Linked DNA regions of Nothobranchius furzeri. The protein of the gene in region 2 interacts with the protein of the main gene of each other region in a pairwise test. Links are inferred from orthologs where the notes say so. Each region holds a gene or a part of one and is shown on either strand. Other genes may lie near its edges. The genes, in order: copb2 and copb1.

The links.
Region 1: the proteins of copb1 (region 2) and copb2 interact in a two-hybrid assay, tested with the Homo sapiens proteins (2 studies listed by BioGRID, with this or other methods). The link is inferred for Nothobranchius furzeri from reciprocal best matches to the Homo sapiens genes COPB1 and COPB2.

Annotation. Positions count from the first base shown.
Region 1 is NC_091751.1:58,293,790-58,302,578, forward strand, and holds the start of copb2 (coatomer subunit beta'), read right to left. Parts: upstream 5,309-8,789; 5' UTR 5,180-5,308; coding exon 5,177-5,179; intron 4,793-5,176; coding exon 4,655-4,792; intron 4,542-4,654; coding exon 4,455-4,541; intron 4,098-4,454; coding exon 3,971-4,097; intron 3,849-3,970; coding exon 3,700-3,848; intron 3,508-3,699; coding exon 3,361-3,507; intron 3,132-3,360; coding exon 3,032-3,131; intron 2,940-3,031; coding exon 2,797-2,939; intron 2,661-2,796; coding exon 2,461-2,660; intron 2,349-2,460; coding exon 2,238-2,348; intron 2,143-2,237; coding exon 2,054-2,142; intron 1,972-2,053; coding exon 1,865-1,971; intron 1,753-1,864; coding exon 1,609-1,752; intron 1,405-1,608; coding exon 1,274-1,404; intron 1,099-1,273; coding exon 891-1,098; intron 778-890; coding exon 667-777; intron 563-666; coding exon 348-562; intron 265-347; coding exon 126-264; intron 42-125; coding exon 1-41. Other genes in the region: retinol-binding protein 2-like, read right to left, coding at 6,612-6,662, 6,776-6,877, 7,654-7,832, 7,946-8,018. UniProt on the Homo sapiens protein: The coatomer is a cytosolic protein complex that binds to dilysine motifs and reversibly associates with Golgi non-clathrin-coated vesicles, which further mediate biosynthetic protein transport from the ER, via the Golgi up to the trans Golgi network.
Region 2 is NC_091749.1:61,887,198-61,895,986, forward strand, and holds the start of copb1 (coatomer subunit beta), read right to left. Parts: upstream 7,057-8,789; 5' UTR 6,900-7,056; intron 5,131-6,899; 5' UTR 5,066-5,130; coding exon 4,975-5,065; intron 4,738-4,974; coding exon 4,508-4,737; intron 4,374-4,507; coding exon 4,204-4,373; intron 4,137-4,203; coding exon 4,022-4,136; intron 3,788-4,021; coding exon 3,695-3,787; intron 3,606-3,694; coding exon 3,468-3,605; intron 3,330-3,467; coding exon 3,210-3,329; intron 569-3,209; coding exon 461-568; intron 364-460; coding exon 217-363; intron 105-216; coding exon 1-104. UniProt on the Homo sapiens protein: The coatomer is a cytosolic protein complex that binds to dilysine motifs and reversibly associates with Golgi non-clathrin-coated vesicles, which further mediate biosynthetic protein transport from the ER, via the Golgi up to the trans Golgi network.

The DNA.
Region 1 (8,789 bases), on a different chromosome or scaffold from region 2:
AGATTCTCGTACTCGGTAGGGTCGGCTAATGAATCAGCTGCCTGCAACAGAGGCTTGGTTAAAGCGTCCAAACTACTTTTCTCTTTGCAAATCATATAATCAAAGATCTTGATGCCAGATCTGACCTTCTGGTTGACTTTGGCTAAATTCTCCCTCCACAATTTGACTACACGCGACACCTGGCTGGGCAGGTATGTGCGAGCCAGGAAGGCAGCTTCTGGAAGTCTGTTAGTCCTGATCAGAAGCTCCAAACATTGGTCCAATCTAGAGAAGAATATGTACGTACATGATCCAGAATCTTCTTATAATTACTGCACACCATGTTTGTCACCACATCAAATACTCACTTCCCCTGAAGAAAGTAGGTCATGAAGGCCACGTTGTTCTTGCCGTCTCTTTCTGCCCCTTCGGCCAGCTTGCCCACCATGGTGGCATTACCAGAAGCTGTGGCGAGGAGCAGCAGGCCACCGTAATCCTGAGCGTGGTGCAGGCACTCCTGGGCCAGGCCGAACTGGCACTTACTGATGGCCAGCTCTGCAAGCTGCTTCCATTTTTGCTCCGACTGCAGAGAAACACATTTTGTTAGCAGTGATGACATGAGTCACAAATACAAAAAGTGTTTGGAAAAGTAACGAGAAAACGACGTGAGGAGACAAAAGCTCTAACCTCTGCTTCGACAGCCAGCTGGTAGGCGATCTTCAGCTCTCCCAGCTGCAGGGCCAACTCAAATCTGTGCTCCGGGTCTGTAGACACCGCCAGAGCCTGCTGCTTGAAGCCCTGACGAGACAAATAAAACCATCAGTGTCAAATTAAAACCACATCTGTTCATTGATGAGGAGCAAAATAAATAAAAAATTAAATAATTGCAGGTCTTTATGGGTTTTCATCACCTGTTTCTCCAGGAAATGAGCCACTCTGGTCCTCTGCTCTTTAGGAATAGTTGGTAGCACCTTGTCTGCCATTCCAAAGTCCCTTCTCATTACAGCAGTCTGGTATTCCAGGACAGAGACCAACAGTGAATAACTGACTATGTTGAGCTCCTTGTCTCCGAGGTACAGCCGGTCATCCTTTGGTATGTAACCCAGCAGGTACATGGTTCTGCAAGGACAATAAAAACTGTGGATGGAACTACGCACCAGTGTTTAGTGTTACTTCTTTATCTAGGTGTGACTGTCCGTTTATCGACGCTGAACTGCTTTTTTCTGATAAATGTAAATGTAGTGCTTGCATGGTCTTATCCTATATAAGTAAGGCCTAAACAACCTGTTCTTACCTGTCCAGATGTGCAATAGTCACAATTTCTCCTCCTACAAAGTAATTGAGTCTGTTCACAGAGCTGGTGTAGATAAAGCAGTCTCCCACCCAAAGTCCAGTCTTCACAATCTCCTGGATCTCCCCCTGGACCTGAGGATAGGACATTCATACAAAAGGTTAGCAAATAATACACGCAAAAGACACACCAGTACGGCTCAGTAACTGTCAGTTTAAAACAGCTCCCTCTAGTTTATTAGGAACGTGCTACAAACACTGCAAAGAGACACAGCTGCCAGGTGAACAATGCGTTAAAAATACGGGCTTCCCGCAACGGGCATTCATCTACACACTGACCTCAAAGGCATCTTCAATCCCGTCCTCTGTCACACCTTCGTTGTTTTCTTGGGAGGCGGCTACTTTCTCTGCCAGGTAACGTAGAATGAAGAAGGACTCCTCCGTAGCAATGCAGACCAATTCCCCCGAGTCTGACCAAAAGATCTGAACAAGCCAAAAAAAAAAAAAAAGAAAAGAAAAATCAGACTAAAACATTTAAAGCGTGATTCAAATAGAGTATCATGTATGTAAAAGGACAAGGTAACTCAAGTCTTACATGCTTGGGCTGGATCTCAATGCGACGGATCAGCTCTGTGTTCTCCCAGTCGTAAAACGCCAGTCCGTTCACCGACCTAACTCCCAGCAAGAACCCCCCGTAGATCCCTGCAGAGCAGAAATGCAGATCCAGTGAATAAAACGACCGTCTTCAATCTGGAAATCTAGCCAACGGCACTCGTCTGATTACCTTCTGCTCCAAAATCTGGCTTAAAAGATTTCTTTTCTTTGAAGTTTTTGAAGATTTTGACAACACTGTTGCTCTCTCTGATGGCGTATCTGTTAAAGGAAGACAAACAGCAAATGTTAAACAACAGTGACTCAAAATCACCACCCAGAAGGATGATAAAAACATCTTTTCCGTGTGGACGTACTCGGAGGAGTCGTGTGCCCAGACAAACTCTTGAGCTGAGCCGAAGCTCTTGTTCCTCAAAGCCATGGCAGTATAAATGATGTACTCTCCATCTCCGCACACAACAACAAATCTAGTACACACATAACAACGACAAATCAACAGAATTTCTTCCACATTCAACAAAATTCGGATGACGAGTGATGACTTTCTGGGGCTGTCACAAGTGAAACGCGTGTTTTTACCTTCCATTAGGGTTATGCTGGATGGTTTGAGGGTAAATCTCACAGCTACCCATGTCTTTGACAGCCAGTGGCAGTCTCTCCCCATCTTTGATTTCTGCATCCCCCATAGCCTTCAGGTTAGCCTGCTGTATTTCACTGTGCTTAGCCCAGATGATTTTGCCATTAGTGTCCATAGACATGGCTGGCTCCTCCCGACCAACCTACACCGCAGAGTAAAACAAGCGTACACATTTTTACTTTTACCGTTTATTTCATTTTAATGTGGATTTCTTTTAAAAAGTTAATTTTGAGGCATTAGTTTAATCCAACTTTAGATTAAATCTTCCTTTTACTCACTTTGATGATGATGCTGCCTTCATCGTATCCCAGTGCCACATTGTTGGATCCCCTGAGGCCACACACACACCACACTCGTTCCATGCCGTAGTTCAGGGTGCTTTCCAGGCGATAAGTACTCGAGTGCCAGATTCGAACCGTACCTGGAGAGGAAAGACGACGATATTGCACAAAACAACAACATAAGGAGAGGACGTTCCTGTGGATTTTATGGTTGAGGGAGATTTTTTCTCACCATCCTCTGATCCCGTGATGATTATGGGTAGTTCTGGGTGGAAGCTGACACACGAGACATTTTGGGCATGACCTTCCAGAGTCTGAACACAAGTCTTGTTCTACAACACACAGAGAAAGAGGGATATAAATGTATGTAGAGGAAATGCTAGATAAAACTTACAAAGACCAAAAAATAAAATCACCATACCTAACTTGGGCTTTTTCTAATGCGAGATAAAACAAATAGTCTGTACTTTTTCAAATTAATGCAGTTTTCCCCATTTGGTGACTTACTTTAAATTCTGTGTACATGCCACTATAACTATAACCAAATAAAACTTCTCTAACCTGGTAGTCCCAAATTTTGACTTGGCGGTCATCAGCCCCTGATATCAGATAGGGCTTGTCTCCTCCACTGTAGTAGTCAATACAGTTTACTCCCTTTTCGTGACCCTCCAGAGTGAAATTAGGAGATGAGGAGCCCAGCTGCCAAACCTGTACAACACAAAGAGAGAGAGAACTGTACAAAAATAATCAGACACAGTACGCTTCTTACCACTGACTCCTTTGCACCAAATCAAATATAAAGGAGCTGTTGATCTTACACACATTCATTAAAAACAATAATCTACACTTATATACAGTTTTACATTCCATTTATCCATTTGCACAAACAGAAAAATCTACCTTTATGGTTCTGTCCAGAGAAGCGCTCGCAAACTGGTTGTTGTCCTTGGGGTTGATGACGATCTGCATGACGTAATGAGTGTGACCCTCAAACACCTGACTGCATGTCCACTTTTTCTCCCAATCCCAAAGCTTGATCAGCATGTCGTCTGCACAAAGATAAAACACAATCACGCTCAAGTGCCCAAAAAAAGGATACATAAGCCTAATCAGAGCCACAGCTGCATTTAAAGCTGTAGAAAATATAGGTTTAGTAGGGTAAATAGTGTACCACTGCTAGTGAGGATGTATGGCTGAGTTGGATGGACAGCAATGCAACGGATGTAGTCAGAGTGGGCTTCAAACATGTGGACCCGCTCCAAGGTGTTGTAGTTGAACACACGGATCTGCATGTCATCCTGTGAAGAGAAAAGAAATTATGAATAAAGTAGAAAAGTGTAGTTTTTCCTAAGTTTTCTAGTAAAAGTTTTAACTCTAAAATAACATCAAATAGCAGTTTTACACTAATATACATATATATATACATATATATATATATATACATATATATATACATATATATATATATATACATATATATATACATATATATATATATATATATATACATATATATATATATATATATATACATATATATATATATATATATATATATATACATATATATATATATATATATATATATATATATATATATATTACAGAAGCTTTTAGAGGTGTAGGCTCAAAACAAATAAATTCCTGTGACTCACTGCTCCTGTGATCACCCAGTTCTTTCTTGCCACAAACTTGGAAGCTCTGACAGGCAGGTCACACACTTCAAACGTCTTGACCAGAGTCTGGAATAAAAACAGATCGACTTTGATTGTGATTTTTATAGATGTTTTTCACATATTTGTTTGTTTATATGGTGCACAGATCAAAGGTTTTACTCTTTGGGTGTATTCCATACTTGCGTTTCGTGGTTCCACACACAGACACTGCCGTTGTACAAACTGGCCAACATCCATGGCTCGGTTGGGTGAAGATCCACACTCTTGACCCGGTCCGACCTGGCTGTTAGCCTCCTCTTGATGTCCAGCCTCAGAGGCTTAAATAAAAATAAACCCAATGTGTTAATAGACACTATTCAAACTGTACTTTGTTGCTGTTAGCTAGTAGTAGCAGAACGTCAACTTAACACCAATGTATCAATCATCAGAAACAAATGAAATTAAAACTGTTTTTTTCGCTATTTCAGTTGATCAGTCACACATTCATCTGTGACTAATTCGTTGAAAAATAAGGATAGATATATGTGACATTAACATTTAGGTTTAAACGTGTTTGAGAGACAATATTCTATGCAAACTTAAGCTAGTTAGCCGCTAGGCTCTTTTAAGCATTTCATTCTTTTTGTTTAAAGATTAAACTGAATCTCGGGTGACATTTATCGAAAAGAAGCACACTTATAACTTTCTAAACTACAGCTTACCATATTTTCCGCCCTGGATGTCTTTGCTAGATCCGATTAACGTCCAATCGAGTCCAAATGTTGCGATTTCAGTGAGCAGCGTTCTGCAGGACACTGACGTGGAACTTCCTGAAACGAAATCTCGCGAGAACTGTGTTGGAACTGCTGACGTGACATGGAAGCTTGTAGGTTGCAAGTTATTTTTTTATTTTTTTATTTTTTGTAGGTTGCAAGTTGCTGTTGTAACTCAAATAAAGTTACTGAATTACATGGACATTTTTTAAACAATATTTAAGCTTGTAATTTTAATATTTATTCTAACTCAGTGGTTCGCAACCTGGGATCCGTGAAACCCAAAGATTACAGTGGGGTGTGGGATTACCAAGATTATATTTTCAAAAGTTAAATGTATAAAAGCCCCAAAACACACCAAATCGTATAATCAAAACTCTGCATAAGAAGTATATCTTAGTATGCCTGTATAAAGCTTGTAATTATTCACTTTTGATGTGTTCATGAGGGTAAAGGTTGGGGGTCTTGGTTCGTCCTGGACACAGCTTCCTTATCTTAATCTTCTTGGGAGTATTACTATTAAGGATGAGAAGAAGGATGAGTAGAAGCAGAAGAAGGAACAGGATTTTTTAATTTAAATTGTTACTTAGTAAAAACACTTTCTCTAAATTCTTCCAAATAAAATGTTTTGTTGCCTTGACAGAACGGAGAACTTGTGCCCTCTACTGGCAAAACAACAGAACAACACTTTGGTTTCCAACAGCATTTATAAAAGACGGGGAGATGGGGAGTTGCTGCCCTCCAGTGTCTGAACGCGGGTACTTTTTTTTATTTTTTTAATAATAATAATAATAATGCATTGAACTTATATAGCGCTTTCAAGACACCCAAAGACGCTTTCACACACTCTCACATTCACACACTGCTAGTGATGGTAAGCTACTTGTAGCCACAGCCGCCCTGGGGAGGTCTGACAGAGGCGAGGCTGCCATTTGGCGCCGTCGGCCCCTCTGACCACCACTAACACAGGCAAGTTGGGTGAAGTGTCTTGCCCAAGGACACGACAGCAGGATACACCTGGCGGGAGCTGGAATCGAACCCGTGACCCATTTAGAAGAAAATATTTCAGCCTCCTTATCTTAATTAAGCTGTAAAAAATGTTAATCTTCCATTTTGTCCTCTTGGGAATAATAAAATTAAGGATGATGAGGAAGATGAGTAAAAGCAGAAAAAGGAACTGGGTTTTTAAAGTTAAACTAGAAGCAAAACTCTTCTAAATTATTCCAAACACATGTGTTGTTGCCTTGACAGAATGAGGGATTTGCACGCTAACAAATAAAATACAACACAATGAATAATTAAAGATCATTTATTGATTCAAAATGCTTGGAAAACATGTAGATTCTATTTTTTATCAACCTAGTGACAATAAGGACAGACGCTATTATTTTCTTTTGAACACTTGAACACAAATCACATCTTCACATGTCAGCTCCTGTGAAACAAAAACTCTCAGTATTATTCAGCATGGCTAATTTCCCTCTGGGATCAATAAAGTATCTTTGATTTGATAAAGCAACCTTAACATGACTGTAGTTCAAGACCCACCAGGTAGAGTTTGTCTCCTTCAATCCAGTGTTTCCAGCCGCGGTTGCATTTTTCTCCTTTCTGCGTGCACACAAGTGTGTCCCCCTCCCATCTTACCAAACTCTACAAAAAACATTTATATTCAAATTATTTAATTAAGTAAAATATCAGTACAATAAAGAGATTAGAGTACACAAGTACACAAGTCTCCTTATTTTGACAGCCTAGTGGGTAATCACAAATATTCTCTAATTGATGCAGACTGAATTAGCAATAAGTTATTTATGTTATATCTGTAATTCCTTTAGTTAATAAACTATAAGTAAAGAAAACCTGACGTCGTCAAACATCACCACTAACACGACATAACCAGTGACCAAATAGAGTGCCTGTATTACTGTTTCACATACAGGGAGGCTGAAAACAAAAAGAAATGTTCACTATAATAAAAGGCAGAAGAAAATCAGTGGAGTGAACAGATGAACTCTCACAGATAATCAGAGATGTCCCAGAATGACACAATAGTTTATTAATTACACAACCAGAGCTGAAACAAACAGCTAAGCCCTTGGCTCAGAGTTTATCAGTGGGCATCAGAGCTTCTGTGGCTACTCATTACACACCCCCAACCTTTGTAGACAAAAAAGATTTTAAAAAGTGTTTTTTGACAAAAAAAGACTAAATGAAACCAGAAAAAACATAAATGTAAAATATTTTGACCCTGAACTTTTCTATAACAAAGTGCATATTTAGCCCAGGGATTATGAGAGGTAGGACAGGGATTATTTAGGGTTGTCAGATACAGAAAAGCACCTTTTGATGTGAATTTAAGAAAATACTGGCCAATAGTATTATATTATTATATATTATTAGACCCTATAGATGAGAGGTGGACCAACCTTGACATGCCGGTTGTCCAGCCCCTTGGTGTACTCATCCCACTCCACTCCTACAGTGAAAGCGTGCTCATAATTCCTGAACGTGCTGAGCGTTTTGAAGTCAAACTTGTCTCCATCTTGAACGATCACCTTAGTCTGAGACAGCGAGATGGCAATTTTTCTAGTAGCAAAGTCGATATCTGGGAATGCAGCGTGGAGAGTTTTCATTATGCGGAATATTATCATCTCACTCTCACAGCAGGTGCAGCTCATCTCTTCTGAATGTTCAGAAATGTGAAGTGAAGTTTCTTACTCAGAGTTTTCAAGTAATCCTCAAATTTGTCACTGCTCTCCAGTGTCCATTTCCCATTGAAGTCTGCAGGCATGGTGGTGATGCTGCGGTGAGCAGACCTGGGGCAAAGTTAAGGGGCAGGGCAGGTTGTTCTCTTGCTTTTATGTAAGTCAGAGGGCACAGGGCCAGATAACTATTGATGAGTGAGTTTATTGCTCTTAAGCAATCGGCAGGGATAATTTTTTATTCTTTTTTAAAGAAGGGAGAAAACCCACTCTCTTCCAGACCCAATTAATTAATTAATATGGTAATTATCATTTTACTCTTTCACCCTAACTTTGGAGATTTCTGCATCTGCCTGACTTTTGCTTCTCTATAACATAAAGCAGATGTTTATCTTGAGTCGGTTGCTTCCAGCGGGACTGCTAACCTTTATTTTCAGCCTCTGCCACTTACCACCTGATTTATGAGGTTATTGTGCCGGTATCGAGGTCACAAGTGCTCACACAGACACCAGATCATCATTCTTTTTTCAAAACGAGCACCAGACACTCACTGCTGTGGTGGTCGGTGTTCTGCAGCAGAAAACAGGAGCTGTGTACTATTTAAAAAAAATCTTTATTTAGTGATTTTCTGTGTTTGAGTAAGTGAAATTGTCTGGATTTGAACATGCAGGTTAATAAAGGTCAACGTGGTTGTGCAACTGAAATACAGCAGATTTTTTATTTAAAGGATGTTTGGTTTAAAACGTTTCTATGTGTCTAGTCACATTCAGCCTGACCCGAGGCAGGAGGAAACAAAAATAATTTCTCAAAAAGACAAAACCCTAGTTCAAAGATTATATAGATAGGCCATTACTCTTTGG
Region 2 (8,789 bases):
ATGATCAGGGGTCTCAAGTTGTCGAACCTCTGAATGGCTTCCCGTACAAACTCCAGCACGTCTGCAGCTGCTGCCTCATTAATGTCACTCAGGAATTCCATCAGCTTTAAATTAAACCCACACACACACAAGTCTCAGCACCTGGGCGTCTGCTGGAGGACTAGAACAACTGAGGGCATTTTCTTTTGGGATGTTTTAAAACAACAAGAAACTCACCACAGGTATGACATTTGCCGCCATGTCGGGGAATCGAACGCTGCAGGAGTGGAGCGTGCGCACCAAGAGCTGCCTGTACTTATCGGTGTCTTCATGTTCCGTTACGTTGTTAGTCTTGATCACCTCTTTCTTTAAAACAATCACCAGCTGGAACGAAAACATATGCAGATTTTTTTTAACCGACAGGTTTATGATGGACTTTGTGGAACAACGCAGGAAACCAACGAATCAGCGTAGGACAAACCTCCTCGACGTTTCGAGATGAGACAAGATCCAGAGCCAGCTGCAGGGTTTTCTTTCTGACCTCTAGGTCAGGAGTGCTGAGGACACGCAGGATGTCCATCACCAGGTCCTAAATAAAGATAAAAGTAGTGACAACTAACGTTAGATTTAACCAACAACATATAGAATAGCTTTAGGAAGAGCCACTCATATTTCAGCACATTTGCTGTGGTCTAGTATGAATGTCTTGTAAGTCATTCTCTAGGGAAAAGAAGCTTCAGTGGGCCTGTTTGAAGAACTAGAAGTGAGCTAGATCAGAGTTGAGGTGAGCAAGACAGGATTTAGAGTCTTATTTCATGTCATATTTGGACATCTCGCCTCTGATTGGCTAACAGCAACACGACTCTACCACAGACTCAAGTTTGCTCAGCAACGTTGATGTTTTACCTCCACAAATTACACACGCCTGAAGGAGTTTTGCTGTGTGATGGAGTTTCTAATGCTAGCAGTTAGCTTCTACTAGTTGAGATGTTCTCTGATGTTTCCTGGACGCTAAACCAACAACAGCCTTCACCGTCTATTTTCTATCAGAGGCTAATGCAGGAGATAGGTGTAGAAGTAGGGTTGGGCACCGTGTTGAAATGTTTTTATATCGAATCCCAGTCCGCCGACCGGAAGAAGAATCTGCGGCCGAGCTCCGTTAAAAAAACCTGATCTGCTGATTCTGATCAATGCTTTTCAGAGCCGATCATACCACCTGCCTTTCGCTTCTACTTTTCAGCTCGTAGAGATCCTGAGTGCAGCATCGCATCCCCACCCTTCCTTCCCTCACACCCGGTACACGGCAGCAAAAATGTAAACAAACGCGCTTGCCAAGACTGATGAAGTGATGTTTAACTTAAGGTGATGTTATTGTTCGTAGAATTAAAAGATCACGTTGAAATTCAGATCATTTCGAGTAAGACCTACAATTAGCTGGCTCATTTCAAACATGTCGTTTTTGGATCCTGCCTCTTGAAAGAATCTATAGGAACCGGAATCGAAACGATGATTTGGAATCAGAACCCTATGTAGGAGACTATTTACATGTTTGGCCTGCATAAAAACTCAAGAGTGATGGATCAAAAATAATAAGTAAAAATTGGTTTGTCAGTGAAGCTCCAGTTGAAGTTATAATAGTTCTAGGGTTTATTATCAACACGTTTATGAAGTTTTTTAGACTAAACCTCTCTCACATAAAGCAATCTGAGCAGTTGTATTCCTGACAATTTCAGCAGTTTCAGAGCTCTGTCACTTTAAATAACAAGCGGGAGCTGGATACACCCAGTCAGGCTGCTAGAAGATAAGAAGCTCTGATATCCGGGAGGAGCTAAGAGTAGAGCCACCGCTGCTCCTCCAGCAGCAGCTCTACTCTTAGAAGTGAGACGTGATCTTCACTAAAGTCCCCAAACGTGTAGGGATGGGTACCTTTGACATTTGAATTGATCCGGTACTAATTCCCGGTACCTACGAATCGATACCGGTACTTAACGGTACCAATTTTCGATACTTTTGAGTGTTTAATATTTTTAATTCTCTTTTATAATTAAATATATATTTTTCTCAACATATAACCATATTTGATAAATATCACGATAAATAACATACAACTGTTTGTATTTTAACATCGTCCTTGTAGTTTTATAAGCTGATAATTAAACTGAAGCAAACATCTTTACTGTGAACTAAATTTACTGTGTATCTTCATTCCTTTTGCCGTCCTTTTTCATTTGATTTTTCCTACTGGGAAGTTAGAATTTCCCAGGAGAAAGCGAACGCACCATTAGCTGATAACAACGGTGGCAATGGAGGCTAACATATCAAGCTAACGTTATCTTAAACAGTTTATTTAACTGCTGAAGCAGATTAAAACGATGATGCCTAACACTTAGATCGTTGTTGCTGGTTTCATCTTCACCCAATCACCCGTCGCATTTAGTAAAGTGAAGCCAAACTTTAGAGCGCGTTCATGTTCTTCTAGTCAGAAATTCGGAGTTCCGAGGAGAAAGTGAACGCACCATTAGCGAAACGGAAGCTAACATATCAAGCTAACGTTATCTTAAACATTTTATTTACCTACCGGAGCAGATTAAGATGAGGATGTCTCACTTAGATCGTTGTCGCTGGTTTCATCATCACCCAGTTACCCATCACATTTAGTGAAGTGGACCCAAGCTTTAGCGTGCATTCTTTCTATCATACTGCTCTGTTTACAACTGGCTCGCAGGGACCGACGACATAACGCTCTTGCGCATGCGCAGCTGTCTAGGCAAGTTCTCGTTAGGAAGGACGGGTACCGAAACGAGGCACCGTTTGAAACGACGTGAATCGGTGCTCGGTCGGTACTATGGAATTCGGTCGGTACCTTAAAAAGTACCGAATTCGGTACCCATCACTACAAACGTGACATCACAAACAGGAACTTTTAGAAACGGCTTGTTATAGTTTTTGGCCAAGTACTGACTGAAAAATAGATGGATGCTTTTTTTTTAATGTTTGGAGTGTTTATAGAGGCAGTAGACCCACATGACGGCGTAAAAGGATGCAAACGGTGAGCTTTGCATAACATGTCACCTTTAGTTCAACTTTTGGACAGAAGTAAACTTTTTAAAAGTATTTCAATACATTTAAGAATATCAAACTAAATAATATGTAAAAAAAAAAAAAAAAGACAGTGAAAATGTTTGAAAAACAAAGCAACACAAAAACTAAACACCTGTAACTAAACCCACCTGAAGCACACGCTCATGAGTGGGATGCTCCTTCAGTTCAATCAGACGATCGAGAACAATCAGCTTCACGTTGTTGTCGCTCTCTTTAATAATTAAATCGATGTAACACTGCGCTGCAGCCTGGAGTCCCCCCCCCCCAACAAAACCACAGAATTCATTAAAGCAGAGGAATGGCTGACTTACTCAAAAGCAGTGCAACATCAGTATCACCGGCTTATGATGCACATGAAAACCACAAATCAAATTGTGAAGCTGTACCTTGATGGCGGTGGGAGCGCTGGACAGGGTCACAAGAGTACCAGCAGCCTCATATTTAACAGCTGGACTTGAGGACTGAAGCAGGTTATAGATGCAACGAATAAATCGAGCACGCTCCGAGGGGTTAGCGTGGCAAACCTAGCCAAAGAGCACAAGAACTCAAATGTTAAATCTGTTTGCTACTTTGCCCTAAAGGCCTGACTTAGTCTAGTAAAATGCCCACTCACCTTGTAAATCAGCTCAACGATGACGAGCTGCAAGATGTCACCAAAAGTGTGAACCTGGTCAATGCATGTGCTGAGGTAATCCAGAGCGCGATCCTGTGGGGGGGGTTACACAGTTGAGCTAACAATTCGTTAGACGGATGTTATAAGGACTAAGGGAGGAGAATCTATTTTTAAATGCACCGTGAAGCAGATGTAAACGTTTCTGAATAAAAATCTAGATTCAGTAATAATAGTTTCATAACTGCGTTACAACCCTCTGAGTCCTGATTGAACCAAATCACGACAGGCCTAAAAACTCCCACCCCTAAAGCTCAGTGGTCCACCAACCTGATCTGCATGAATCAGCATCATGAAGGCGTTTCTCTTACAGCTGGCGTCCTTCTCATTCACGAGGAAATCATGAATCAATTCTGGAGCGTCTGGGATGAGATGCTCAAAGTTCCTAAAATAAAAAAGCTGATTATTGATCTGCACTGGCAGAAGATTACAAGACAGGAAAATATCGGTACCTGTAGATGGTGTAGATGGCCAGGACTGCATTTCTGCGCACGTAGCTGTGACGGTGCTCCAGGCAGGCCCGGATCGCTGGCATGAGAGGCTCAAGTAGCTCAGACTCCTTCAGCTTGCACAGGAAACGCAGAGTGGAGCCGCGGATGAACTCATTGGGATGCTGAAGGTCCTAAAATAAAAAAAGAAACGATTATTGCAATCTTGTTTTAATAAGAGTACTGAGAACAAACGTATCATTTTAGCTGTTCAGCTATTATTCCAGCTGAAAATGATGTGGAAAATAAAAACAATTCCCCAGCTTACCTTCCTGTAAGCATCACAGACAAGAATCATCTCCTGAAGCAGCTTGCCATCTGGAGTCGTCTTAGGAACAATCTCCCAGAAAACAAGGAGAAGCTTCTTGATGGTGTGGTCTTGAAGTGGCAGCACGAAGCGAATTATAGTCATGAGCAGTCCAGGCAACTTCTCACCGTTCAAGATCATGATTATGACCTTCTTCAGGGCTTCGGTCTTTGCTTTGATCTCTCCCTTTTCTGGAAGACATTAGAATTATGTCAAAACATTTCATTTGTTCAAATCTCTACCTGACGACACCTGCCTTCAGCTAACATTTTACATGAAGACGAGTTTTAAAATGTTTTGAATAGATCCAATCTTTGATCCCAGTTAAATTATTACTTTATACACAATCAGAAATTATTACAAAAGTTTACATCTTTACTACAGTTAACAAGGAAATCGTTTTGTAAAATCTCAAGAAGAAATTTTACCCAGATCTGTTTTTAAGCTGACTTCAGAAGGAGGCTCAGAGTCCGACTGAACATTGATCAGTGTGTAACAAACGTTTTCTGCAGCCGTCATTTTTGCTGCCTGTTGGACGGGGTGGATTTAGAAGAATCCCAGTAAAGTTCCCTTCAGTGTAATACCTGCAAATATGGAAAATAAATGTTAAAAAATGGCTGATAAAACAAATGCTGAATGACAAAAGATGTTGGAAATAAGTATAAAGACATCTACACAGAGGCTGGAAACAACGTGAGGAAACAAAAACACATCACATTCGTCACATTTAAACAAATCAATAAGAGAAGCAATCACTTTGAAGTTAAAGGTGCAGTATGTAAGAATATAGTGAGAATTTTGCAGTGAGAAAATCCCAAAAGAGTTTAAAGTTTCAGTGATTTTGGACGGAAGGTTATACTGAAACATGTTTCATATCCAGCTGGCTGCAGGAATTGTCAGTTTTCCTCCTTTCAAAACAAAGGAAGGAGGGACGTTACTACTGTTTACTAGTAATGCACCGATATGACATTTTTGGGCCAATACCAATATCAAGATCACTGTTCTGGCCAAAAACCAATATTTGCAGATACCGACACACTGACATCAATGCTTCTAAAATCAGCAGATTTTGTATAGAATGAAAATTATTAAAGCTGAATTTAGGTTATTATGAACACACAACACACACATTTACACTTCCGAGATGATTTCATTCACAGTTCACATGACTAAACAATCACACATCACCCCCCTCACCCTCTGAAACAGGCAAACAAATGGAGACAAGATGGAAAAAATATTGGTTGATAATATTGGCCCGTTTTTTCTTTTTTTTAATCGGACCGATACGATATGTTAAAAATGACTAACATCGGCCGATACCGATATCAATACATTGTCCATCCCTACTGTTTACCATCAGTGAGTGTGGGGTTGCTGTGTCTCCTGCGAGCTAATACTGCAGCGCCGACAATTATAATTTGACGACGGCCGGCAAAAAGCTCCAGAGTTGTTTTAAGTGGTTTCAGTAACCAAATTTTACTACACTTAATTTCTATATAATGCACCTTTAAAAAAGTATAAAACTCCTCAGTTAACTTTTTTCATTGTTTCTGCAAGAAACCTAATGAACAAAAAAGACTAACACATTGAATTAAATCAATAGCCTTCATTAAAATTGGTGTAGCAATTGGCCAGGCTGCTTTATTTGGAGGGTTGCTGGTTCAATGCTAAATCTATCTAACTGAGAGGTTTATATTAGAAATATACAACTTGAGGTGGTGCAATTTATGTTTTCATCTTGATCAAGACTTCATTCACAAACCTTGATTTTCACACATTGACTGTTGCCTTTAAGTTTTAAATTTCTGCTAAACAGTCGATGAGAGAGTTTAAACATTTTGCTGTAGTGATCAAACTGGCAATGACAAAACCTACAGCTGTAAAAAGATGAGAAATTTAAAGTTTGTTACAGGGCACCTGTCATCGCTGTAGTTACACAGGTAGATGCTATTTTTTATGATCATATGCCTCTTACCACATGATTTAAACACTTAATTTTGACAGTAGTTTTGTAACAAATAACGATAATTAAGCAGCTGTTACAGCTATAGCGAAATAAGCTAGTACGTAGCTAAGCACAAATGTCATCGCCTTTGCGTTGAATGTCTAAACGTAGATGGGCGGCACATGACAGAATTGTAAAAAAAAATAATAATAAAAACTAGTTTTGTCGTCTACACGGCTGATAATGAAATAAAATGGGAAGCTAAACAGCCACCGTTAGCCAACAGTAGCTTTAGCTTTCATCCAGGTTTGCAATGAAATGGAGGACGTTTGATAGTTGCTAACGCTGGTAGCAAAAACTGGATAAATCCACTCACGTTAGAAAATAATATGCTCCAGGACTTACCTAAAACACGGCTTTTATCCCAAACGGTCGCCTTCAATTCCCAACTTCAAATATTAGCATGAGTAAAAGAACTAGAAGAGCTCCTGGTGTTAGGGCTACCCCGTCGGCTCTCGGGTACTTCCTAGTAACGTGGAAGACTGCTCACTGAGCCACATCACTGCTACGGTGCGCCGGAAGGCTCAAACGCGCGAAAAAAAGGACAAAATCCCACATTTTACAGACATGCATATTTTCTTTTTAAAATAATTCGAATTTTTTTTTACTTAAAATGTTGTCGAAAACCTGTAACTTATTCACTTGCTCAGACTTTAATCAAACACGATTTTTTATAATGCAAAAGCACACAATAAAAACACAAGTATAAAAGTAGAGAAATTGAGTATTAATGCACCCTTTCAGTGAGAGAAAAGTCAGTTTCAACGTGTCTAGATGTATATGATTGGTGATTGTTTTGCTGTTAAATGCAAACAAATGACACTAAAACTATGGGCTGTATTTAAAACGGATTTAAAATTTCTATGTATATCAAATTTCATTTTTAACACAAATTCTGAGCATGAAATGTGATCACAGCAGTTGATCAAGGATACTTGCCATAAAAACATAAAAAAGCCGAAATATCTAAAAAATTAATAAATATAGTACTGCTAGAAGAGTTAACATTAGTAAAGATTTATACTTTACATATTACATCGATTTCCTCCTCGTGGTAAAAAAAAATCCAGTTCAGAATTTTTTTTGTTTGTTTGTTTGTTTTGCGATGTTTCTTCTGTAGCCTATAATTAAACATTTAAACACTTCTGCCAGAAAGGAACCCAACTGAATAAAGTGGCGTGCAGCGCCCTCCGGTGGAAACTAAGCTGAGTGACAACGTGGGTGCACAGAAAATTGAATGAATGAAACCGACTCCAAATTTTCAATGAAACACCTCAAAGGGTGCGGGTTGAATAGGTTTGCCAATATGTCGACAGTTACCAAAACATTTCTTTGTTGACCAAACTTAGAAGTCCAGTATATACACAAAACTACAATAAAAAAGTAGCTCTGGCTGATTTTTGCAGAATGAATTAAAAACAAAAAGGAAGAAAATAACAAGATAGAAAATATTTTAAATCAGAGTTTTTTTAACCCTCTGAGTTTTATGAAATGGTACCCAAACCTATGCATGAGGTGTTGAAGTGGTATCAAGATTACAAGCCTTTAACACTGACTGATTATTTTGTTTAACACATTTAACCACAGAGCAATCTCAGTTTACATCGTGTTCAAATGGCCAGACTGCTTTGCGTCATTAGTTCTTTGACCTTTTAGCAGACATTTAGTTGTTGCAGGAACAGGTGCAGCTAATGACATTAGAGCAGCCTCTTCTTGACCAGTGGGCCGTGTGCACAATGCAGGGTCTGACTGAATGGAATTATGTGCTGTCGTTATTAATTTTATAAACAGCAAATACACATTTCCTGCTATCTTGTGTTAAAAAGTCTGGTGAGGTAATCAAACAGCTGACTTTGACAAATCTGTTGTCTACACACACACACACACACACACACACACACACACACACACACACACACACACACACACACACACACACACACACACACACACACACACACACACACACATATCTATAAAATTGTATTTATTTTTTTGTGGCAAGAAGGAAATTAAATGAGTTAGTTGCACTGTCACTAGCTGGGTTTAGCACTTTGACTCCACACAACCATTGTGTTTAACAGTTACATAAATTCAATTGAAATTGTGCAATTAGTGACACAATAACGTAAAGACTGTTAGTTTCAATGTTACTGCCAATAACCGCCACAGTATGTTTTATTTTGAAATATCTACAGGAAGCACTAATAAGTTATGTCTTGTTCAGATTTATGA